4 linked regions of the Arabidopsis thaliana genome follow. The protein of the gene in region 4 purifies or fractionates together with the protein of the main gene of each other region. This does not show direct contact. Each region holds a gene or a part of one and is shown on either strand. Other genes may lie near its edges. The genes, in order: IMD2, IMD1, AT3G23940 and MTO2.

The links.
Region 1: the proteins of MTO2 (region 4) and IMD2 fractionate together in Arabidopsis thaliana (co-fractionation; one large-scale study listed by BioGRID). This does not show direct contact.
Region 2: the proteins of MTO2 (region 4) and IMD1 fractionate together in Arabidopsis thaliana (co-fractionation; one large-scale study listed by BioGRID). This does not show direct contact.
Region 3: the proteins of MTO2 (region 4) and AT3G23940 fractionate together in Arabidopsis thaliana (co-fractionation; one large-scale study listed by BioGRID). This does not show direct contact.

What each region holds. Positions count from the first base shown.
Region 1 is NC_003070.9:30,285,696-30,291,206, forward strand, and holds IMD2 (isopropylmalate dehydrogenase 2), read left to right. Parts: upstream 1-2,067; 5' UTR 2,068-2,137; coding exon 2,138-2,354; intron 2,355-2,553; coding exon 2,554-2,683; intron 2,684-2,792; coding exon 2,793-2,904; intron 2,905-2,982; coding exon 2,983-3,058; intron 3,059-3,148; coding exon 3,149-3,237; intron 3,238-3,329; coding exon 3,330-3,416; intron 3,417-3,506; coding exon 3,507-3,623; intron 3,624-3,713; coding exon 3,714-3,821; intron 3,822-3,902; coding exon 3,903-3,956; intron 3,957-4,062; coding exon 4,063-4,215; intron 4,216-4,356; coding exon 4,357-4,431; 3' UTR 4,432-4,604; downstream 4,605-5,511. Other genes in the region: AT1G80550 (Pentatricopeptide repeat (PPR) superfamily protein), read right to left, coding at 1-1,009; AT1G80555 (Isocitrate/isopropylmalate dehydrogenase family protein), read left to right, coding at 1,311-1,521, 1,594-1,723, 1,798-2,044; AT1G80570 (RNI-like superfamily protein), read left to right, coding at 4,966-4,996, 5,125-5,511. UniProt on the Arabidopsis thaliana protein: Involved in leucine biosynthesis; catalyzes the oxidative decarboxylation step in leucine biosynthesis (primary metabolism). Catalyzes the oxidation of 3-carboxy-2-hydroxy-4-methylpentanoate (3-isopropylmalate, 3-IPM) to 3-carboxy-4-methyl-2-oxopentanoate.
Region 2 is NC_003076.8:4,573,771-4,579,140, forward strand, and holds IMD1 (isopropylmalate dehydrogenase 1), read left to right. Parts: upstream 1-2,352; 5' UTR 2,353-2,449; coding exon 2,450-2,678; intron 2,679-2,765; coding exon 2,766-2,895; intron 2,896-2,975; coding exon 2,976-3,087; intron 3,088-3,171; coding exon 3,172-3,336; intron 3,337-3,413; coding exon 3,414-3,500; intron 3,501-3,578; coding exon 3,579-3,695; coding exon of another isoform or gene 3,696-3,697; intron 3,698-3,784; coding exon 3,785-3,892; intron 3,893-3,973; coding exon 3,974-4,180; coding exon of another isoform or gene 4,181-4,192; exon of another isoform or gene 4,193-4,266; coding exon 4,267-4,341; 3' UTR 4,342-4,632; downstream 4,633-5,370. Other genes in the region: MPL1 (Myzus persicae-induced lipase 1), read right to left, coding at 222-341, 443-643; AT5G14210 (Leucine-rich repeat protein kinase family protein), read right to left, coding at 4,733-4,957, 5,055-5,166, 5,244-5,269. UniProt on the Arabidopsis thaliana protein: Involved in both glucosinolate and leucine biosynthesis; catalyzes the oxidative decarboxylation step in both leucine biosynthesis (primary metabolism) and methionine chain elongation of glucosinolates (specialized metabolism).
Region 3 is NC_003074.8:8,646,300-8,653,300, forward strand, and holds AT3G23940 (dehydratase family), read left to right. Parts: upstream 1-2,369; 5' UTR 2,370-2,480; coding exon 2,481-3,008; intron 3,009-3,106; coding exon 3,107-3,178; intron 3,179-3,278; coding exon 3,279-3,326; intron 3,327-3,499; coding exon 3,500-3,654; intron 3,655-3,823; coding exon 3,824-4,018; intron 4,019-4,095; coding exon 4,096-4,207; intron 4,208-4,291; coding exon 4,292-4,361; intron 4,362-4,447; coding exon 4,448-4,506; intron 4,507-4,614; coding exon 4,615-4,738; intron 4,739-4,832; coding exon 4,833-4,903; intron 4,904-4,982; coding exon 4,983-5,084; intron 5,085-5,295; coding exon 5,296-5,376; intron 5,377-5,718; coding exon 5,719-5,877; intron 5,878-5,973; coding exon 5,974-6,024; 3' UTR 6,025-6,306; downstream 6,307-7,001. Other genes in the region: AT3G23930 (troponin T, skeletal protein), read left to right, coding at 729-1,119, 1,193-1,476; AT3G23950 (F-box family protein), read right to left, coding at 6,609-7,001. UniProt on the Arabidopsis thaliana protein: Functions in the biosynthesis of branched-chain amino acids.
Region 4 is NC_003075.7:14,598,519-14,603,399, reverse strand, and holds MTO2 (Pyridoxal-5'-phosphate-dependent enzyme family protein), read left to right. Parts: upstream 1-2,344; 5' UTR 2,345-2,385; coding exon 2,386-3,966; 3' UTR 3,967-4,184; downstream 4,185-4,881. Other genes in the region: EMB2757 (Transducin/WD40 repeat-like superfamily protein), read left to right, coding at 1-104; AT4G29850 (transmembrane protein (DUF872)), read left to right, coding at 526-715, 1,461-1,582; VIP3 (Transducin/WD40 repeat-like superfamily protein), read right to left, coding at 4,243-4,869. UniProt on the Arabidopsis thaliana protein: Catalyzes the gamma-elimination of phosphate from L-phosphohomoserine and the beta-addition of water to produce L-threonine.

The sequences.
Region 1 (5,511 bases), on a different chromosome or scaffold from region 4:
AAAAGAGACACATGTAAGTAATCGAATCGGGTTGACAACCTCTCTTAGGCATCTCATCAAGCATCCGATACGCGTCTCTCATCCTCCCGTCTTCACATAGAAGCTTAATGATTGTGTTATGAGTCGCAACATTAGGTTCACAACCTCTTTCCCTCATCTCCCGAAATACCCTGATACCGAATTCAACACCTTGCGACGCTCCAATGGCTCGAATCACAGTGTTATAAGCAACCACATCGAGTTTCATCCTTCTACTCTTCATTTCCTTATACAACTTCACAGCTTTCCACGGTTTCCCGCTCTTGCACATGATATCCATGTAAATGGAATACGAAAAAAGATCCTTAGTAACACCTTCAGTATCCATCTTCTTCCAATACTCCTTGCATTTACCCCACCATCCCAATTTCGACCACCCACGAAGAATCAGATTATGAATCTTAGTATTACTCACACTAAAACCATTACCAATGACATTCTTCCCAAAACAAAGCTCTTCAGCTTCAACCACATGTTTATGCTCGCAAAGCGCATCGACCAGATTATAAAATGATGTTTCATCTCTCAAATTGAAATCATCCAATTTATCATACGCATCAATAGCCTCCTGAACAAGATGAGCCGTCACATAACGCTTAAAGACTATACGAAACGTGACGTGATTCGGCACAGATTCCGTGTTTCCGATCATGCGGTTAATCAAAGCCCAAGAAATTTCAAACTCGAAATACTTACCCAGAATATCGATCACCCGATTGAATGTCTCGGTGGTATGTCTGAATCCGGATTCTCTCTCGACCCAGTTGAAAAACTCCAACGCCTTTTGCCAATCGTTGCTGTAACATGTGAGAGCTTCGCATACTGTTTTCTGATCGTAACTGGACTGATCTTCTTCTTCCTGAGATCGAAACTTCGCATCATCGACATTTGAAATAGGTTTTACTGACAGAAGCCGAACGGAGTAAGGGGAAGCAATCCGAACTCGATTGAGTCGCCGCAACAAGAGCATTCTCTTGTTTCCCCTCTCCGCTCCCTGTACACACGAAATTAGGGTTCATCATCTAACGGGCGAATTTTGACCCGAATACCCATTTTAAAATCTGACCCGAATACCATTTATGGGCCCAAAGCCCGCTGGACTTGTGTTAATATTTGGAACATTTGGGCCGATCTATCTTCTACGAATCTTTCTTAGGCCCATCATAATTGAGCCATCCAGAGGTGAAAATAAATAATCGAACGGTTAATATTGGTTTGATTATAAACACAAAAGTTCTTTCCAGGTCTCCTTGTAGTCTTTGTTGTAGTAAATGGCGGGAGTCATCCACGTCAGCAGTACCCAGATTCCGGTTGCGTTTATGTCCGCAACCAAACAGAGCTTTAGGAGAGCTTCTGTGATCAGATGTGCCGCCAACACTCCAAAGAAACGGTACACCATCGCGGTTCTTCCCGGCGATGGCGTCGGTAACGAAGTGATCCCAGTCGCTGTTGACGTTCTTTGTTTAGCTGGGTCTCTTGAAGGTTCCTTCTTTCTCATCCTGTTGCCTAATTTAATTTGATTTTCCCAACTGAAATCGTGTTTTTGGATATCAGGGATAGATTTTAGCTTCGAGGAGTTGCCTATAGGAGGTGTTGCTTTAGATCTTGTCGGAGTTCCACTGCCTAAGGAAACATTGATCAGGGCAAAGCAATCAGACGCTCTTCTTCTCGGAGCTGTTGGATGGTATGGTATTATTACCATAACTTTCGTTCATCTCAAGTTTGGATTCATCTAAAGTTTGGATTTTTGAATTGAAGGCCGAAATGGGATAACAATCCCAAGCATTTGAAGCCGATAACGGCCTTGTTGCAGCTTCGTGCGGCTCTTCAAGTATTTGATGAGCCCTCCTTCTTCTGTGAGGTGCTGCTAATAAATGGATATATATATATATATATATATATATATATATATGTTGTATGTGGTAATGTAAGGTGTCCATTTACAAAATTAAAAACTTTGGGGTCAATTCTGAAAATAAAACAATGTGCAAAAAAGGACCCATAAATGCAAAGAAGTAAAGTCTGAGTGTACTAGTAGTATCCATTTGACTTGCGGTTTCAAAATCCGAAAAAGACCAATCAATCCTTTCTCCCTGAAATGGCGGCGGCTCTGCAGACGAATATCCGGACGGTCAAGGTTCCGGCTACGTTCAGAGCTGTAAGTAAACAGTCATTGGCACCCTTTAGAGTAAGATGTGCTGTTGCTTCCCCTGGTAAAAAACGATACACCATCACTCTCCTTCCCGGAGACGGCATCGGTCCGGAGGTTGTCTCCATTGCCAAAAATGTGCTTCAGCAAGCTGGATCTTTGGAAGGTTCTCTCTCTCTCTCTTGTTCCCTTTCTTATTTAATTTAGTTGCTGTTTCATTTCAATTGGGGACTACTGTTTTCTGCTTGGAATTGAAAGATGTGAGCATTAGAAATTGGCGAGATTTTGAATGGGATTTACAATCGTGGGTTGGGCTCAAAGGCCACGGAGATTGCCTAATACATTGCGTCTGTGCTCTGTATCAGGAGTGGAATTTAACTTCCGTGAGATGCCCATTGGAGGAGCTGCTTTGGATTTGGTCGGAGTGCCCTTGCCGGAGGAGACTATCTCAGCTGCAAAAGAATCAGATGCAGTGCTTCTTGGAGCCATTGGAGGGTCTGTCTTCTCTCTTTTCCCACTAATCTTGTTGGCTCTTAATTATTGTTTTGGGAAATACAGTTTCTCATTTAGTCATTTTCTCATGTTGGTATAATAATAACTTAAGGTACAAATGGGATAACAATGAAAAACATCTGAGGCCTGAGAAGGGGTTACTTCAGATTCGTGCAGCTCTCAAAGTCTTTGCAAATCTGAGACCTGCTACAGTCCTCCCACAGGTGACCATCCTCAGAGATTTCTTGGTTGCCTGAACTTTGTTTCTTGTGTGAAACTCTAATTTTGTTGTTTTTATACAGTTAGTGGATGCTTCCACCTTAAAGAGAGAGGTAGCAGAAGGTGTTGATCTAATGGTTGTAAGGGAGCTTACAGGAGGTCAGTTTTATTACTTATTAAAAATTGATCGTAATTCTTGTCTTTCTCGTGTGACAATATCTTATAAAATGTCATGTCTCATGGTAACAGGTATTTACTTTGGAGAGCCAAGGGGCATAAAGACCAATGAAAATGGCGAGGAAGTTGGGTTTAATACTGAGGTTTATGCTGCTCACGAGGTACTCTATTGAAAATCTCAGATGCAGATTTCCGTGGACTGATTGTTAAGTACTAGGGTCAAATCTAATAAAGCATTTTGTATGTTCGTCAGATTGATAGAATTGCTCGTGTTGCCTTCGAGACTGCTCGGAAACGGCGTGGCAAGCTGTGTTCTGTTGACAAAGCTAATGTTTTGGAAGTGCGGTTGATAATTATGTTTTCTTTGACTTGTTTTCCTCTCTCTTGTTTCCTGTGGAACGAACATAACACTGAATTTTTTTATATGCAGGCCTCAATCTTATGGAGGAAACGAGTAACAGCATTAGCCTCTGAATATCCTGATGTTGAGCTGTCACATATGTATGTTGACAATGCCGCGATGCAGCTTGTTCGTGACCCAAAACAGGTACGTGTACTTTGTATTTGCCAAACTAGTCAGCTTTGATGTGCGACAGGTGTAAATCCTTGCAATTATTTGATTGTTTGATAAATGCAGTTTGACACCATCGTCACAAACAACATTTTTGGTGATATATTATCCGATGAAGCTTCAATGATCACAGGAAGCATAGGAATGCTGCCATCTGCTAGTCTCAGTGATTCGGTATGATATAAAATAATATGATCTTTTAGTATGCAAGCAGTATGATCTAGTCTGAACATAAACCCGCCATGTGTAATACAGGGACCTGGACTCTTTGAACCTATACATGGTTCTGCACCTGATATTGCTGGACAGGTTCTAACTCTATCCTTCAAACAAACACGGTTTTTGTTCCCTGATATCAAAACTAGTTTAATGCCAAAATCAAAGAGCACAACTTGTTGATTCTTTGAATTTTCAGGATAAGGCAAACCCATTGGCAACCATTCTAAGCGCTGCAATGCTTCTGAAATACGGACTTGGAGAAGAAAAGGCAGCCAAGAGAATTGAAGACGCAGTGTTGGTTGCTCTGAACAACGGATTCAGAACTGGAGACATATACTCCGCGGGAACAGTATGTTTCTTGAACCACTCTTATAACATGTTTCCTTTTCCTTAAAAACGTCCCGAGTTAGTGTTTGAGAAACGTTTAAACAAGCAGGCAACAACAAACAGTAGTAATATTTTTTTGTCTTTTTGTATGGGGTATGATCAGAAACTGGTGGGCTGCAAGGAGATGGGAGAGGAGGTTCTGAAGTCAGTGGACTCCCAAGTTCCAGCTTCTGTTTAATATTTGTAGAAACTTTGAAGAGTTCATTTCCAACAACAAATGTTGTACCTTGTACTCAAAGAGTCTCGGTTTTATTAGCGATTTTTATAATGTGAGATTATTAGAGGGACTTATTTGATCGAACTGAAACGTTGATGTTTTTTTCTGAGAAATAAATATCCTTGTGGAGATAATGACGTGTCAGAGTATCACTCAAAAAGCCAAAAATTAGAGAGACAAAAAAGATTCAATCTCCCCCGTAGTCCTTATCCGGCGCCGAGTGTGGTCAAACGTCGCAAGAGTTTTCGCTCTTTCCGGTGAGATCTTTTTCCTCTGATTTCTGTTTCATGGCAAGCCTACTTTTAGAGCTGAGTTTAATCGATGAATCAAGGATGTGAATTTTTGTTATTTCTTGATTATTCATTATTATGTTCAAGAAATCTAAATCTCTGCTTGGGAACTAATTCACAATTTAGACATCTCTGATGAGTTTTTCCTCTGTTTTTTATTTCTATCTTATCAATTTTGTTTCTGGAAATTTTCATGGCTTTTTGAATGTTCATTGGGATTGCGTATCTTGGTGGTGGTAAGTAAAAAGTCAAACGCCTTCGTTTTTCTGCATAATCTCTGAGTTCCATCAAAGCTCTGTTTTGTGTTTTCAAGGTGGACTTTTCACTTGACATGTTAGGCTTTGATCCTTTTTTGTTCACACAGATAGACAAATGGATGAATTGCCAGACCATTTGGTTTGGGACATTCTCAGTAAGCTTCATACTACCGATGACAGAAACTCGCTTTCACTCTCATGCAAACGTTTCTTCTCGCTGGACAACGAGCAAAGATACTCTCTGCGGATTGGTTGCGGTTTAGTTCCTGCATCCGATGCATTGCTTTCTCTCTGCAGGAGGTTTCCAAATCTTTCCAAAGTGGAGATTATATACTCAGGCTGGATGTCAAAACTTGGCAAACAAGTTGACGATCAAGGCCTTCTTGTCCTGACCACAAACTGTCATTCTCTCACTGATCTCACTCTGAGCTTCTGCACCTTCATCACCGATGTTGGCATAGGCCATTTGTCGTCGTGTCCAGAGCTTTCTTCGT
Region 2 (5,370 bases), on a different chromosome or scaffold from region 4:
CAATGTAGTAATCAGATATTCCGAGTGCGATGCAGTGGTTTAATTACAGCTATATATGTTTTTAATAATAGACTTTGTAGTTTGGATGTATTTCATGCATGTTGGAACAAAGTTTGATATTATCACAATAATTATCTGCACATAAAAGTAGCATGCGTGTGTATACACAAGTTAATTGACGGTTAAGGCGATGCAAAAAGGTAAGGAAGAGTAAAACTTACGACAAGAATTCCATGTTGTATTAGGACAGGTTGTCTCTTTCCCCCATCTCCGGCGACGGCTCCGGCTCGTCCTTCCGGTATCCTTTGCATATTCAATATGTACCCATCTTGAGTCACCACCTTCATAATTTAACAATTAAAATAGCAGCTTTATCAGTTAATATATCGATGAGTAATCATCATCAATAGCTATATAGAAAAAAAAAGAATGTCGTACGTACATCATGTTCTTCGCACTTGTAACCAAATATGTGAACAGAAGAAGCGCATATGCCGCCGGCAGCAGTCCTCTGCGGTGGCTGTCCGGCAAGCCTGCCGAAGGTTCCACGAGCTTCAAGGGTCTTGAGGGAAAGAGCGAAGAAGATTAAGACAGATAAGGCTAAACCGATTGAAACGGACGGAACCATAACCGAACCGGCCATTGAGATATATATAGGGGTTATCACGTACGTTTATAGGAAAGTGAAAATGGTTTTATATAGAGAGAAGGGGTGACGGATAAGATAATAGAAAATGGAATTATTAGCTATTTATAAAAATGCAAAACCACGTTAGCAACTATGGATAGACAAAAACTTATTTAGAAAAAAAAACAATTTATGGTGTGTAAACATAAATTAAGAATTGAATCATGCACAAAAAATAAGACAAGCATTTATGAATAGTTTCTAGAAGTGGTGAATCATCCACTGCTATCGTCGATACAACATTTACTAAAGTTTCTATATATAAGTGGAGGGATGATCAGTGTGACCATGCCATGATTTCTAACTTTTTTGAGAGAGCGAGGTTATTATGATAAACATTTAAAATAATACGTGGAACTGAGATGAATGGAAAATAATCTTTATAAAAGAGAAAAAAAAAAATAGAAGATCTCATGATAATAAAAGTACTTCCATATGTTTTCAATGTGAAGAAAAGAATAGTAAAGGAGATACATCCAATAGCTTAGTCTAGAAAAGAGCTGACTAATTTTTTTTAAAAACAAGATCTCTGGTTTGTATATTTGTATCGATTACACAGCCTAGATATATAAAACACAAAACTTGATGGAGACAATTTCATATCCTATATATACACATTAATTTAATGAGTGAATAGTAATAGCAACTAGCAAGGCAATCTAAACAAAATTAAGAAAAGAAAAATGTTAAATTCCTGAGATCTATAATAACTCATAAGCAAAAAATATATTTAAAAAAATCATACAAATGTTGTAATAATATCATTTTGTTTTAATGTGGAGTGATAAAAAGAAGATAGGACGAAAGAAGAAACTGTTAAAGGCGATTGTAGATGCTGTAGGGACGGATAAATGGACTATGACATCAGTTTCCGTTACTTGTTTCTTCTCGAACTCAAAGAAGAAAGAAAAAAAAAAAAAAAATTCTACATCGGTACGCTTTCGTTTCACACCCTGCATGCACACAGTGTCCGGTAGTCAAAAATACAAAAAAAAGAAAAAAAACCTCGAGACATGCTAAATTTGGATAATGATTAATAATTTGGGGGTACACAATGTTCCAAATAATTTATATACAAAGTCTTGCTTTCATATTATTTGTGTGTCCACACTTCAACAATATAGTATTATACTATTATCCCTATCCCCTATGAAGTATGAACACACTTTTTATGATACGTATCATATTCAGAAAACATCAAAAATTGGTCATAACTCTCACGTGGTGTGGTGGATTTGCCTCGCCTTTCGTTTCTGTTTTTTGCAAATATTTAAGAATCTTTGGTCATTTAGGCTTTAATTTAGTTACTTTAAATTTATTTTTGTTATAGAAGTATTATGTTAAAAACAGTTCGTGTTCATCCTTGGACTAACCAGACGATTTGACAAAATCCGAATATCCGATCATAAAATTAAATAATCAGCCGTTATTGTTCCTCTACTACTACGTTTTAACTTTTAAGAACTTCTCCTGGTACTTTGATGGGCTATAAGAGCGGCCCAATATTTCGACTTTAAAATGGGCCAATCTTTGGTAAAGGCCCAATTATAGTGGCGCTTCTTCTTCTTCTTTTCCTAAACAAGCAATGGCATGGTTTAGCTGGTGAGCCAGTTTATAGGTAAAAAGGATAATTTAAGCCATTTAAAAAAACAAATCTTTAATGGCGTAATTCAAAAAACGTGCACACCTATCTAAGTACCAAACTCTTTATGTTATATAACTATTGTGACACAATTTCAAATTTGCTAACTCCCAAAAAAAATGGCGGCGTTTTTGCAAACGAACATCAGTCTGAATGCGATCAAGATCGTCCCGGGGAAATACAGTTCTCTCACCGATCATCAGTTTCGTGCGCCGTATCGAATTAGGTGCGCCGCCGCTTCACCTGGGAAAAAACGGTATAACATCGCTCTGCTTCCCGGAGACGGTATCGGTCCAGAAGTTATCTCTGTTGCTAAGAATGTGCTTCAGAAAGCTGGATCTCTCGAAGGTTCTTTCTCTTTCTCAATGGTTTTTGGAAACAACGAGTGTGTTTGCTTAGCCAGTAGATGATTGTGTCTTTGCTTTTGTATCACAGGACTGGAGTTTGATTTCAAGGAGATGCCTGTCGGAGGAGCAGCCTTGGATTTGGTTGGAGTTCCATTGCCGGAGGAAACTTTCACGGCTGCAAAACTATCTGATGCCATTCTTCTTGGAGCTATTGGAGGGTATGTGTGTGAGTGCTGTTTCTTTAGCAATCTGCTTCCAAATTTATTCTGATCTTGAGGTTTGGATGATTATTGTTCAGGTACAAATGGGACAAGAATGAGAAACATCTGAGACCTGAGATGGCTCTGTTTTACCTTAGAAGAGATCTCAAAGTCTTTGCTAATTTGAGACCTGCTACAGTTTTGCCACAGGTATCTTCGGTTTTGATTTGCTTAGCACTTGAATTTTGCTTCTAGTTGTAAATAAACTCAAATGTTTCTGTTTTGCTTGTTCAGCTAGTTGATGCTTCCACACTGAAGAAAGAAGTAGCAGAAGGTGTTGATATGATGATTGTTAGGGAGCTCACAGGAGGTATTTACTTTGGAGAGCCAAGAGGCATTACGATCAATGAAAATGGCGAAGAAGTCGGCGTTAGTACAGAGATCTACGCTGCTCACGAGGTAATAACCCTTCACACTGTGCTCTGTGACAATATTGGCAATGTATGGATATTAATGCATTGATTTATGTTCTTCAGATTGACAGAATTGCTCGTGTAGCATTCGAGACTGCTAGGAAAAGGCGTGGCAAACTTTGTTCTGTTGACAAAGCCAATGTGTTGGATGTACGTTCTGTTAGTTCACTGAATTGTTTTTCCACTTTTGTGTGTTTTACGAAATGCAAATTTCTTTGTTTCATGTAGGCATCAATATTGTGGAGGAAAAGAGTAACAGCTTTAGCCTCTGAATATCCAGATGTTGAACTATCACATATGTATGTCGATAATGCTGCAATGCAGCTTATTCGTGACCCGAAACAGGTGCTTCTCGCACATATATCAAACTTAGTCGTTGATTAAGCTAACTCAGAAGTGGAACTAGTACTCACGGTGTTTTTAAAACAATGCAGTTTGACACAATCGTTACCAATAACATTTTTGGTGATATATTGTCTGATGAAGCTTCAATGATCACTGGAAGCATTGGAATGCTTCCATCTGCTAGTCTCGGTGAATCGGTAAACAAAATTAACTAACATCTTTCAAGGCTCCTCCTGTTTATAAACTAATGCGAAATGTTAAACTTGTGATGAAATCAGGGACCTGGACTCTTTGAACCTATACATGGTTCAGCACCAGATATAGCTGGACAAGACAAGGCAAACCCATTGGCCACCATTCTCAGCGCGGCGATGCTTCTGAAGTATGGACTTGGAGAAGAAAAGGCTGCAAAGAGGATTGAAGACGCTGTCGTGGATGCTCTGAACAAAGGGTTCAGAACCGGAGACATCTACTCCCCTGGAAATGTATGTGCATGATGATTCTTATCATTTGTTTTGTACAAGTTCGTAACAAAATACTTAAAAAAGTCTTTTGTGTTTTGAAAATGCAGAAACTGGTGGGATGCAAGGAAATGGGTGAGGAGGTTCTCAAATCAGTGGAATCCAAAGTTCCAGCTACTGTTTAAGTTTATTGATGATTTGAAGCACTTGAAAAAGTTTGTGTAGCACTTGGTTTTACGGTCACTTATATGCTAATCCATGCAACATTGTACCTTTTATAATAAATAAATTATTTGGGATCGATTCTGCAATTCAAAGACAAGATTCTCCAAAAACATTTGACAGGTCTCCTGCCTTTACTTACCTTGTTCTTGAAGATTGAGAATTTCTCTTCAACTACAAGACTCAATATCTTCTTCAATCAATATTTGTTTAACGAAATAAGTTTCAAGAGAAGACAAGCTACTATGATTTTTAGTCTCAAGAGTCTTACATTTTTATACTGAAAACCAAACTTATAGAGCTTTACATTTAGAAAACCGAAAAAACTATCAATCATTAGGTTAGCCTTTGGATTCACGACGACGTATCAGATTTGCGTTCAGCGTCTGCGGCAGACTGCATTTGAGCTGCGTATTGTAAGTTCCAGAGAACATCTTCAAAGGAAGGTCTTGCGGAAGGTTCAAGCAAAACACATTTATTGGCGATTGAGATCGCAATCGATAAAGACTCCTGCGAGCTTGTTGTTAGGACTGTTGGACTTACTATTTTCTGCCGACCGTCTTGGCTCCCAAATGATGTCTGCAAACACAACATTGCAGCAACAGCTATTAACCAAATTTGTTTCAATCAAATAACAATGATGATGCTTTTTTTTTTTGCTTTTTCTCTTTGTTACCATTTCGTTGAGAAGAAAAGCCTCTCCTTTTGTAGTGGGCACTGGTCCTATCAGAGATTCCAGAAGTATGAATCCGAAGTTGTACACATCGTCCTCTCTTTTAGCCTTTTTCCTGCATAATCTCAAAGTTTGGATTAGATTCTCATAAATGCCATGGAGTTTTGCTATACAAGGACAAAAGATGCATACTTTGACTTGTGGGTTTCTGACTTTGTCTGCAAAATGTAGAAGCAGGAGTAAAGTAGAGTCCTGAGTTAGTGTCAAAGAAGATCATACAAAATGAAGATAAACACAGTGAAAGAGAGTAAATAGAGCA
Region 3 (7,001 bases), on a different chromosome or scaffold from region 4:
AGACAACAGTCTTACTTTTGTCTCTTCCTCTATAAGATTAATCTGACCCTTGAGCCACTCAAAAACAGGTATGTCTATATTCATTTCCTAATGTGACATCTACACACATATTATCTCTTTTTTTTTTAATCATGTGACTGTAGAAACTGATTAGTAAATAGTAATAGGAAAACAAAATACTTAGTATAGAGTTATATAGAGTATAGAGAGAGGGATGGGTCCAAATAGTTGATGATGGACCATGTGAAAAAAACAATGAAAGCCCACACCATTAATTGTGGTAAAGGATGAGAATCTAGTGTTGTAGTTTTCCATGTCCTTAAACGGTTAAACCTATCTTCTAACAAAATTCTCCACCTTCCCTTCTGACATCTCCCATCACTTCTCTCTTAATTTATTCCATCCATTCCACCAAATTTTTAGTTTCACTTTTTTTACTGTAGTGTGTTTACACTTGTGAGTGAGTGAAAAAGTAAAGCTAGAGAGGTTACTGTTTTGAGATGCTCTTTTTAGAAAGGGCCATATATAAATGGTAGTGTAGTAGTACTAGTGGAGCTTCTTCATATACAATTTTGACTTCTCTTCATTGAATGTAGGAGAGAGGCTCTTTACATCATAAATAAAACAAGAACACAGCTTTCAGAGAGATAGAGTGAGATTCTCCTTCATTAACATATTCTTCTTCATGTTATAAGAAGAAGAAGAAGAAGTGTCCAAAAGGATTAGAGATGGGTGGATGCACAAGCAAGCAAGAGAGGAGAGGTGTGAGAAGTGTGAAGGAGACATCAAAAGACCAAAGCAGAGGAAGAAGACACCTGATAAAAGAGAGAGATGAGAGAGAGAAAGTGATGTTTCTTCAGCTTAAAGAGGCGGAGAGAGAGTGGAGAAAAGAGAGGAAGAAGCTGAGAGAGGAAGTGAGAAGACTAAGGAAGAAGCTAGAGGAAAGAGAAGAAGCAAAGACAACAACAACAGAGGAAAGAGAGTATTGGAAGTGGGTGGTTGAGGAGATGTGTGTAGAGAGAGCAGTGAGAGATGAAGCCGTTGAGAAATGGAAACAACTCTATTTAGCTATCAAGAATGAGCTTGATCATCTCATCTCCCACACTACTTCTTCCTCCGGTAAAATAAACTCAACTTATTTCAACTTAAAATTAGAAAAAGTAAATAGGATCTTTAAAGTGTGTGTTTGTAGGAGAAGCAATCATGCAAAGGAAACTTGAGGAACAAGAAGAAGAAGAAACAGAAGCAAAGAGAGTTGAAGTATTGAGAGATGAAGTTAGAGTTAAAGAAGAGACAGTTGAGACACTTGAAGAGCAAATAGTTTTGATGGATAGACAAAAGTATGAGAAAGAAAGAGAGATTGACTTATTGAGACAGAGTCTAAGGATTCTTGGAAGCAAGAAGAAAAAGAAGACAGGATCATTCGCATCAATGAATCTGTTGATATTGAAGACCAAATGTGTCGAATGTACATAAACACTTTTTACTCAAATAGTCTTCTGCAAACAGTCATATCTCGTCAGAGAATCTTGATCCACAATGTCATATTTATTTCTCTTTTGGTTATTTTACAATTTTTATTTTGGAAATATAGTAAATCATAGCACTATGAGTTCAAAAAGCACATGTCCCATGAAAGATTTGCACAAATCGTTTTTTTTTTTTTTTGTTGGAGTTAGATACAATTCTTTAGCAATAATGATAATGAACCATTTTTCCAAAGAACAGAAACTGTGGAAAAAAACTTACTAGACACTAAAAGTCTAAAACACCACTTGCTTTTTTATAGCCCAAGAAACTTCTAGTTCTAATTAAGAATGTCCAACTTCCGGTTCGGTTACTGAAAATTATCAAATTTTTGTTAGATGAGATAAAGAAGTGAATCCTACAAGAAATATATCATGTGGTTCGGTTTGGTACAATTTTGATTTCTGCTAGGGTTTTATCCTTTTTAGCAAAATTTACTTTAATTTCCGTAGTAAAAAAGAAGAAGTTTTAGTTGGTTTATTTCTTATTTTTGCTTCGATTACGGCATTTAATTTTAGCAATATTTCATTAACAAAAAAAAACAATTCTAATTGGTTTATTTCTACTTCTTTTTCTGTCTTGGTTTGATCTCTATTACTATATTGATTATGAAAAAAATATGAAACCAAAACCATTTATTATGTCTTCAATTCCATTTTTAACCCAATTATTTCACTACAATTGTAATAACCGGTTATTGCACCCCTAATTATAACTATTTAAGCAATCGCATATACCAAACCAGCGAGTTAAACCAAATTGTTTCCCAAATTATGCTAAACGACAGCGTTTTCACAAATTACCAAAAAAACCTATTTTTCTGTATCTATCTGAATTCAGAGTCCTGACCATTTTATCTCACTCTCACAAAGTCTTCACTTTTGAAGTGTCTCCTCCACACGCACTGCGCCGCCAAAAAACCCTTCTTTAAACCCTTTCCTCCTCGCGCCGTCATGCAAGCCACCATCTTCTCTCCACGCGCCACTCTCTTCCCCTGTAAACCTCTCCTCCCTTCCCACAATGTCAACTCTCGCCGTCCCTCAATCATCTCCTGCTCCGCCCAATCCGTAACCGCTGATCCTTCACCACCTATCACTGACACCAATAAGCTCAACAAATACAGCTCAAGAATCACTGAACCCAAATCCCAAGGTGGGTCTCAAGCAATTCTTCACGGTGTTGGTTTATCAGACGACGATTTGCTAAAACCCCAGATTGGTATCTCGTCGGTTTGGTATGAAGGGAACACTTGTAACATGCATTTGCTGAAATTGTCTGAGGCTGTGAAAGAAGGAGTTGAAAATGCAGGAATGGTTGGGTTTAGGTTTAATACTATTGGTGTGAGTGATGCTATTTCGATGGGAACGAGAGGGATGTGTTTTAGTTTGCAATCTAGGGATTTGATTGCTGATAGTATTGAGACTGTTATGAGTGCTCAGTGGTATGATGGTAACATATCTATTCCCGGTTGTGATAAAAATGTGAGTTTTTTTTTTTTAATCATCGATCTTTGTGTTGTCTTTATCTCCATGTTTTATGTGATTTGTTTGCTATAATGTTATTGTTGTAATACTTTTAGATGCCTGGAACTATTATGGCTATGGGAAGGCTTAACAGACCAGGGATTATGGTTTATGGTGGAACCATTAAGGTACTTACTTTTATCAAATTGATGAGAAGATAGTTTCTTAAACCCTAAACCCTTGTGCCTAGTTGGATAGCCTATTCACCTTGCTTTGATATTATTGCAGCCTGGCCATTTTCAAGACAAGACATATGACATTGTATCTGCTTTCCAGGTATCTTTTCTTCTATCTGCTACGAGCTTGGTTATAACAATTTTAATGTGTATTTATGAGACTTCATTGAGTTTTCCAATTTTGGGATTGAGTTACAGAAATCTTGGTGACTTTGGTGTCAAATTGTACCAGTACTTGTGGGATTCATCATGTTTTCCAATTTTGTATTTCAGAGTTATGGAGAATTTGTTAGTGGCTCCATAAGTGATGAACAGAGAAAGACTGTCCTCCATCATTCATGTCCTGGAGCTGGAGCCTGTGGTGGCATGTACACAGCGAATACAATGGCTTCTGCTATCGAAGCAATGGGAATGTCCCTTCCTTACAGGTGAGGCTTTCAGTCCTGAAGACCACATTTATAAATCAACTTCAAACGTTTTCCCAGATTTGTGCTTAATAGAAAGTTATTTCCACAAGAACATTGTAGATCCTAAACTGTAATTGTGGAATGCTTATTTCAAAAGTTCATATATTTGCTTCTTCTTTTTTTTTTGAAGTTCTTCAATACCTGCTGAAGACCCATTGAAGTTGGACGAGTGTCGCTTAGCAGGAAAATATCTTCTAGAATTGCTAAAGATGGACTTAAAACCCCGTGACATTATCACTCCAAAATCACTTCGTAATGCAATGGTTTCCGTCATGGCCCTTGGGGGATCGACAAATGCAGTATTGCATCTAATTGCTATTGCAAGGTGACAGATTGTTATGATGTTTCTTATTATTACCATGGAAAGCAATGGACCGAAGTAATGAATGGAAATGATTTCAGGTCTGTTGGTTTGGAGTTGACTCTTGACGATTTTCAGAAAGTTAGCGATGCGGTTCCATTTCTAGCAGATCTTAAACCCAGTGGGAAGTATGTTATGGAGGATATACATAAGGTAAGGCTTTGGCGAAATCGTTTTGCTTATTACTTATCTGTTTTTTTATTGGTCAGTTTGTAAGTTTTGTTGTTTAATCTACAGATAGGTGGTACGCCAGCTGTTCTCCGCTATTTATTAGAGCTAGGATTGATGGATGGTGATTGTATGACAGGTAGAAATGCTCAAACATTTTATAAACTGACTTAGCAATTTGGATTGATGTGAAATGGCATAACTACGCTTTTGTATCTCTACCAGTGACAGGGCAGACTTTGGCTCAAAATTTAGAAAACGTCCCAAGCTTAACAGAAGGGCAGGTATTTGTAATGTTATTAGTTATCTCATTAGATTCTACCGCCTGTTTCTTCTTGATTATGATGGTTGTTAGTTATACAGGATTCTAATTAATTCTGATAATGTTCCAGGAGATAATTAGACCTCTGTCAAATCCAATCAAGGAGACTGGACACATACAAATTTTGAGAGGAGACCTTGCACCAGATGGTTCTGTAGCAAAAATTACCGGCAAAGAGGGCTTATATTTCTCTGGTAATGTTGGTTCACTCTAGTACCTCCTTTACACTCCATATTTAGCTAATGCTTCTGAATATTAGGGCTTATATGATGGAACTATTTATTTTAGGTCCTGCACTTGTATTTGAAGGAGAGGAATCTATGTTGGCTGCTATATCAGCAGACCCAATGAGTTTTAAGGTAATTTCCTTTCTGATATGAAGTTCATCTCAGGAGCTGGTTATATATCTTTTATCTGATGAAATGTATCGTGTTTCAGGGAACTGTGGTTGTTATCAGAGGAGAGGGGCCTAAAGGAGGTCCAGGTATGCCTGAGATGTTGACACCGACAAGTGCAATAATGGGTGCCGGTCTTGGAAAGGTATGATATGACCAGTATGACTGGGTTAGTGAGACATTTATTAAGTCTGATCAATTTTTATGTTCTAAATTAAAGAACTCGTTATTTTTCCTTTGATATGGTCTGACTATATTATGCTTATGGTAGTGACCTAAATCTTTTTATCTACTTTGTCCATATCCGAGAACACACCTTATATAAAGTGCCAATATGTTGCTATTGGGTGATGCAGGAATGTGCATTACTGACTGATGGTAGGTTCTCTGGTGGGTCACACGGTTTTGTTGTTGGCCACATTTGCCCTGAAGCTCAGGTCTCTCTCTCTCCCTTTTTTTTTTCTCTCTGCCCACTGGCTCCATCAGAGCAAAATTCTAAATTTTGCACTTGCAAGATAAATTTGATAGATCCATGTCCCTCTTCTGGGATATTTTTCTTGTGTATTGAAAAATAAATGCTACTGGGTCATAGTCATATATAGTTTTAGCAAAAAGGAACAAGGGTCAAGGGATCCTGTAATAGTTTGTGGTGGCTCTTATGCAGTTATGATGATTTTGGAATATTTCAAATAATAAAACTGATATTAATGTGATTGGAGAATGTGAAGATAATAATGCTGAAAGCAATTCTCCGGTGTGCTTACTATTTATCTGTGCAGGAGGGTGGTCCGATCGGTCTGATCAAGAACGGAGACATAATCACCATTGACATAGGAAAGAAGAGAATAGACACACAAGTCTCACCCGAAGAAATGAATGACCGTAGAAAGAAATGGACTGCTCCTGCATACAAGGTTAACCGCGGAGTCCTATATAAGGTACTATACGAATCCACTTGTATCTATATAATGTATGTCTCTTTGACATCTGATGGATTAGTTTCTAATGAATGGTTTATGATATTCTAAAAACAGTACATCAAGAACGTGCAATCGGCTTCAGATGGATGTGTGACTGACGAGTAAAGTGAACGATCTAAGAGAGAGTTTTGTGAATGAGCAGCAGAATGTAGTGTACGTTCATGAGGGAATTTGTAAGTTTATTTATTGTAGCTTCTAGATCATGTTACTTTGTGACTGATCATTAGCTATTTGCAGGGTTCGTTTTTAAGATTTTGTTTCTCTTAAATGTCAAAATAAAAACTTGTGATTGTGGCCGAATTCCAAAGAATATAAAGACAGAATAAAGACGGATTTGCATAAATACTTGTCTATGAGATTGAACTTAAGAGCCAATGTGGCAAACCAGCTATGCGTGAATAAGCTTGACGTTCTCTACATGGTTTAGAAAGATGTGAAATCCACTAACCTTAAAGGCTTGGGTTCCTTGGATTTCAAGTCTTTTCATCGTCTTTCTCTCGTTTCTGTAGGAGACAACATAAGGGTCATAAGAATAGTAAAACTCGAGCATGGTAATTAATATTTGATTCGACCAATTTATATCAAGGTGCAAGTATTTGTCTCAAAGGCTCGAGCATGACATCTCACAGAATTGTAAAATCATTCACATTTGAAATTTGATATCAAACTTAAAACAGAATCAATATAAACTAATTAGAAGGCTGTGGACGAGGGAGACGGGACAACCAACGAGGGAGAACATACTGTGAAGCGAGGAGAAGGTTAGGACCACCTTGAAACGATGGGGAAAAGTATCTATGAACGGTCTCCATATACTCGTTGCACCAGTTAAAGCTCAAGGTGCAACCATCCATACACTTCCTCTCGTCTTCGGATTCCTTGTGAAGACTAAACACATGCGTCCTCAAGTTAAACAAGACCATACCTTTCTTGTTTCTGCTCCACAAGTAGATGATCTCAGACTTCAAAGGATGCATCACCACCGGGAAGTAATCGATACCTAGCTTGGTCACAGACGCCAAGCTGGCTTCCCAAAAGAGCTGCCACGCCTCAGGACCATCAGTGTACTTGACCAGCCTCCA
Region 4 (4,881 bases):
GCAACGCTGTGTCCTACTCTCCAGACTGTGAGCTAATGGCGTCTGCGTCTGAAGATGCAACTGTTGCTCTCTGGAAACTATATCCTCCCCATAAATCTCTCTGATCTTTATGGTTCGGTTTTGGTTTGATTTCTTGACCTGAATCTCTTGAATTGGTAAATATACATGATGTCATCATCAAAAAAACAAATGGAAAAACAGAGAGTATTTTCTGGTTTGTTATATATAGCCCACTGATTAGTTTGATTTGTTCAAACTCGCACGTTCTGCCGTTTTCGGAGAAAAGAATAATCAAACGACGCGTAGTTTGAATCATAGTACGTTGAGTAGATTTCACGACCAAAAGAAATTGCATTTGCACCAAACTAATCCGTCACCGTCGTAGGAGACTCATAACATCTGAAGACCTAAAATTCAAACAGTACGATTTCATCTTTCTCGAGCTCTAGATCAATCGTCATTCTGCTTTCTTCTAGATCGGTCCTGATTGTTTCCCATTGATCTTTGATCCGGAAGCTGTGTAAAATGGCGTACGTCGACCATGCGTTCTCGATAACGGACGAGGACATTATGATTGAGACTTCATACACCGTCAATAACCGACCGCCGGTGAAGGAGATCGCACTCGCGGTGGCTTTACTCGTGTTCGGAACCCTAGGAATTGTCTCCGGTTTCTTCATGGCTTATAATCGAGTTGGCGGTGATCGAGGCCACGGTAGCGATTTCTTCACCTTTCTTACTTATTCCACATTTATTGATCCAGTCTTGGAGTAGAAATTGGGAATTCATGAGAGAATATGTGGGACTTATCTTTGCTAGTTTGAGAGATTTAGAAAACAGTAATTGATTTCAGCTAGATTGTTTTAGGAATTTTTTTAGATTTGGTGAAGTTATGTTATAATTTTGGTAATTAAGCTGATAGATATAGATTGCAAGTGCTCTGGTTAGCTACGGTGGAGTGTAATTTCGTTTCAGCTTGGCCTTTTGCTCTCTGTTTTCTGGAGATTTGGATGAATAGACACAAGTTTTCCAAAGGCATACGATTTGATTTCATTGTTAGAATGATTAGTAAACTTCCGATAGAAACTAGTATATGATGATTCTAAGCTTCTCTTATCTGTGAGATAAAAAAGGGAAGGATCTCCGTTGGATTCCATTAACTTTTTAGATCACTATCATCACATACTGTTATTGATATATCCCAATTCTGCTTGTAACATAGACATGAGATTCACTTCAAATTAGCTAGTTTGCTCTTCTTCCTCTGGGCTTGTAATTCATTAATGCATTTCATACATCCCCAATGCAATACTGCAAAGCGAAAGCAAGTATCAGCATTGTACTTAAACTTGATTTCATTTGATTTGCTGTTTTCTTCCGTTTTGCCGGAACTACTTCTTTCTCATCATTGCATCAATGACCTATCATTCTCTGTTTGATATTTTTGATGGTGAAACCAGGGATTTTCTTCATCGTCCTCGGGTGTCTTCTGTTCATTCCCGGGTTTTACTATACACGGATTGCGTATTATGCTTACAAAGGATACAAAGGTTTCTCCTTCTCAAACATACCGCCCGTTTAGGTGTCCCCTTTTGAATCTCTCCTACTCAAAATGTATAGAGATGTTTTATTACTCTATAGCAATGATTGACTTGTTTTCTCTTTTGTGTAGTTTTATAGAATTTGAGTCCAGTCCTTTCTTACTTTCTCCTTCTTCTTGTCAAATAAATTCGAGTCTGTGACAGTTTAGTCAGATTTATACTTACATATCTATAAATATACACCCGGTTCAAATTGATATTTGTTTCTATAAAGATTTCCAATTCGAACCAAGTAATATGGGATACTTGGAGTGTTCACATGTTGCTTTCAGATGTAATTGTTCATTTTCCATCAAATTCCTCTGGATGCAGTATTTAATTGATTACAAATTTGGCCAACTTACACATTGTTACTACTAGAGTTTCAATCTATATCATGATGGTGTATTGGTGTTATATCAAAATTAAAACGTGATTCTTATGTGAATTTTTATGTTCAACATTATTGTTTTCTTTGGGTCAAATGTAACCTTTTATCTTTTTGTCATCAACATGAATGTTCCTTATAACATGCACTTTATTAGCCTGTTTAAAGCAAAACGTGACAAAACATAAATATTCAATTGCTATATACGGAAAGCGATCCAGATATTTGAATGATTAATGGGCCCAAAATATCTCTCTACGTCACATACATAATCCCAATTAACCTAAAAGCTTAAACCGACTAGCCGGTTCTAAGACATTTCCGGTTTAAGTATCTGAATATAGTTTTCTCTCTCTCTCACTCGTGTCCTCTCCTCAAAATCCTCAGCCGCATCTCACTTCTCATTCTCTAGAAAAAATGGCTTCGTCTTGTCTCTTCAATGCCTCTGTATCGTCCTTAAACCCTAAACAAGACCCCATCCGCCGCCACCGGTCAACCTCTCTCCTCCGCCACCGCCCCGTCGTCATCTCCTGTACCGCCGATGGCAACAACATCAAAGCCCCGATCGAGACAGCGGTCAAGCCTCCTCACCGTACCGAGGATAACATTCGAGATGAGGCTCGTCGTAATCGTTCCAACGCCGTGAATCCATTTTCAGCTAAATACGTTCCGTTTAATGCAGCTCCTGGATCCACGGAGTCTTACTCTCTCGACGAGATCGTGTACCGTAGCCGCTCCGGTGGTTTGCTTGATGTCGAACACGATATGGAGGCTTTGAAGCGATTCGATGGCGCGTATTGGCGTGATCTCTTCGATTCGCGTGTTGGTAAAAGCACATGGCCTTATGGATCGGGTGTTTGGTCGAAGAAAGAGTGGGTTCTTCCTGAGATCGATGACGACGACATCGTTTCAGCTTTTGAAGGAAACTCGAATCTGTTCTGGGCAGAGAGATTTGGTAAGCAGTTTCTAGGTATGAATGATCTGTGGGTGAAACACTGTGGGATTAGTCATACAGGAAGTTTCAAGGATCTTGGAATGACTGTTTTGGTTAGTCAAGTTAATCGTCTGAGAAAGATGAAACGACCTGTGGTTGGTGTCGGATGTGCTTCCACCGGAGATACTTCTGCTGCTCTATCTGCTTACTGCGCCTCCGCTGGAATCCCATCGATTGTGTTTTTACCGGCGAACAAGATCTCTATGGCTCAGCTGGTTCAGCCGATAGCTAATGGTGCGTTTGTTTTGAGTATTGACACTGATTTTGATGGGTGTATGAAGCTGATTAGAGAGATAACTGCGGAATTGCCGATTTATTTGGCGAATTCGTTGAATAGTTTGAGGTTAGAAGGGCAGAAAACTGCAGCTATTGAGATTTTGCAGCAGTTTGATTGGCAAGTTCCTGATTGGGTGATTGTTCCTGGAGGTAACCTAGGAAACATCTATGCCTTTTACAAAGGGTTTAAGATGTGTCAAGAACTGGGACTTGTCGATAGGATCCCGAGGATGGTCTGTGCACAAGCAGCTAATGCTAATCCTCTTTACTTGCACTACAAGTCTGGTTGGAAGGACTTCAAGCCCATGACTGCAAGTACCACTTTCGCCTCTGCGATTCAGATCGGTGACCCTGTCTCCATCGATAGAGCTGTGTACGCTCTCAAGAAGTGCAATGGTATTGTAGAAGAAGCCACAGAGGAGGAGCTGATGGATGCGATGGCTCAAGCGGATTCGACAGGAATGTTTATCTGTCCTCATACAGGTGTTGCTCTAACTGCTCTGTTCAAGCTGAGGAATCAAGGAGTGATTGCACCGACTGATCGAACTGTGGTAGTGAGTACTGCTCATGGGTTGAAGTTTACTCAGTCTAAGATAGATTATCACTCCAATGCCATCCCTGACATGGCTTGCAGATTCTCCAATCCTCCTGTTGATGTGAAAGCAGATTTCGGAGCTGTCATGGATGTTCTCAAGAGTTACTTAGGAAGTAATACACTTACGTCATAAGAGACAAGACCATAATCTTTAGCTGTTTTGTTTTTTGAAAACTTTTAGACGTTTGTTTGCGTTACTCTTCAACTCATCTCTCTGTGATCTTTATCTGTTTCTCAGTTTTCCAATAAAGTTCTATCGCAAAGTTTGAATCATTTTATCTTCTTTGTTTTTTGTGTAAGCGATAAATCTAAAGACTCCGGTCAAAATCAACCTGTTGCAGATTATATTGTTACAACTAGATGCGTCTTGGAGAATGCATAAAAGAAAAAAGTCAAAAAACCGAATTGTTCATGAGTAATCATAGAGCGATACACTCTTGTCATCAGAGACACTAGCAAGTCGACCAGCCCGGACACCGGTTCCACCTGGTGGTCTAAAGGCCACAGACCAAACCTGGTCATTGTGGTTGCTCATTGTCTGAATCGCAGCTCTCATTTTAAGATCCCATAGCCTCACAGTTCTATCGCTTGAGCCGGTTGCTATGGCTCCACCGTCTGGGCTAGCATCAACGCTCAGCACCCAACTCGTGTGCCCTGACATGGACCCCAACAGCGTTTTCCCTTCTGCATCGTGCATGTTCACATGCCCATCATCTGATCCAGAGAAGAGGACTCTCGGGTCTACAGGGGAGAACACAAGGGACCTTACAGGCATATTGTGACCTTCTAGCTGGTGAAGTAGCTTTGAGCGGTCAACATCAAAAACACAGATCGTACCATCCATTGAACCACAAGCAAGTCGTTTCCCATTAGGAGACCAAGCCACCGAGAGAACGAATTTCTTGCTGCTGGTTTTATCGGAAGGTTTTGGTGCATCTGGGCGTGGGATTGATAGAGTTGAGATTAATCTCCAGCTTGCAGTGTCCCAAAGCTTGACTGAGGCACTACTTCCACCTGCAACAGCAAGGATCGTACCCTTGGAACATGT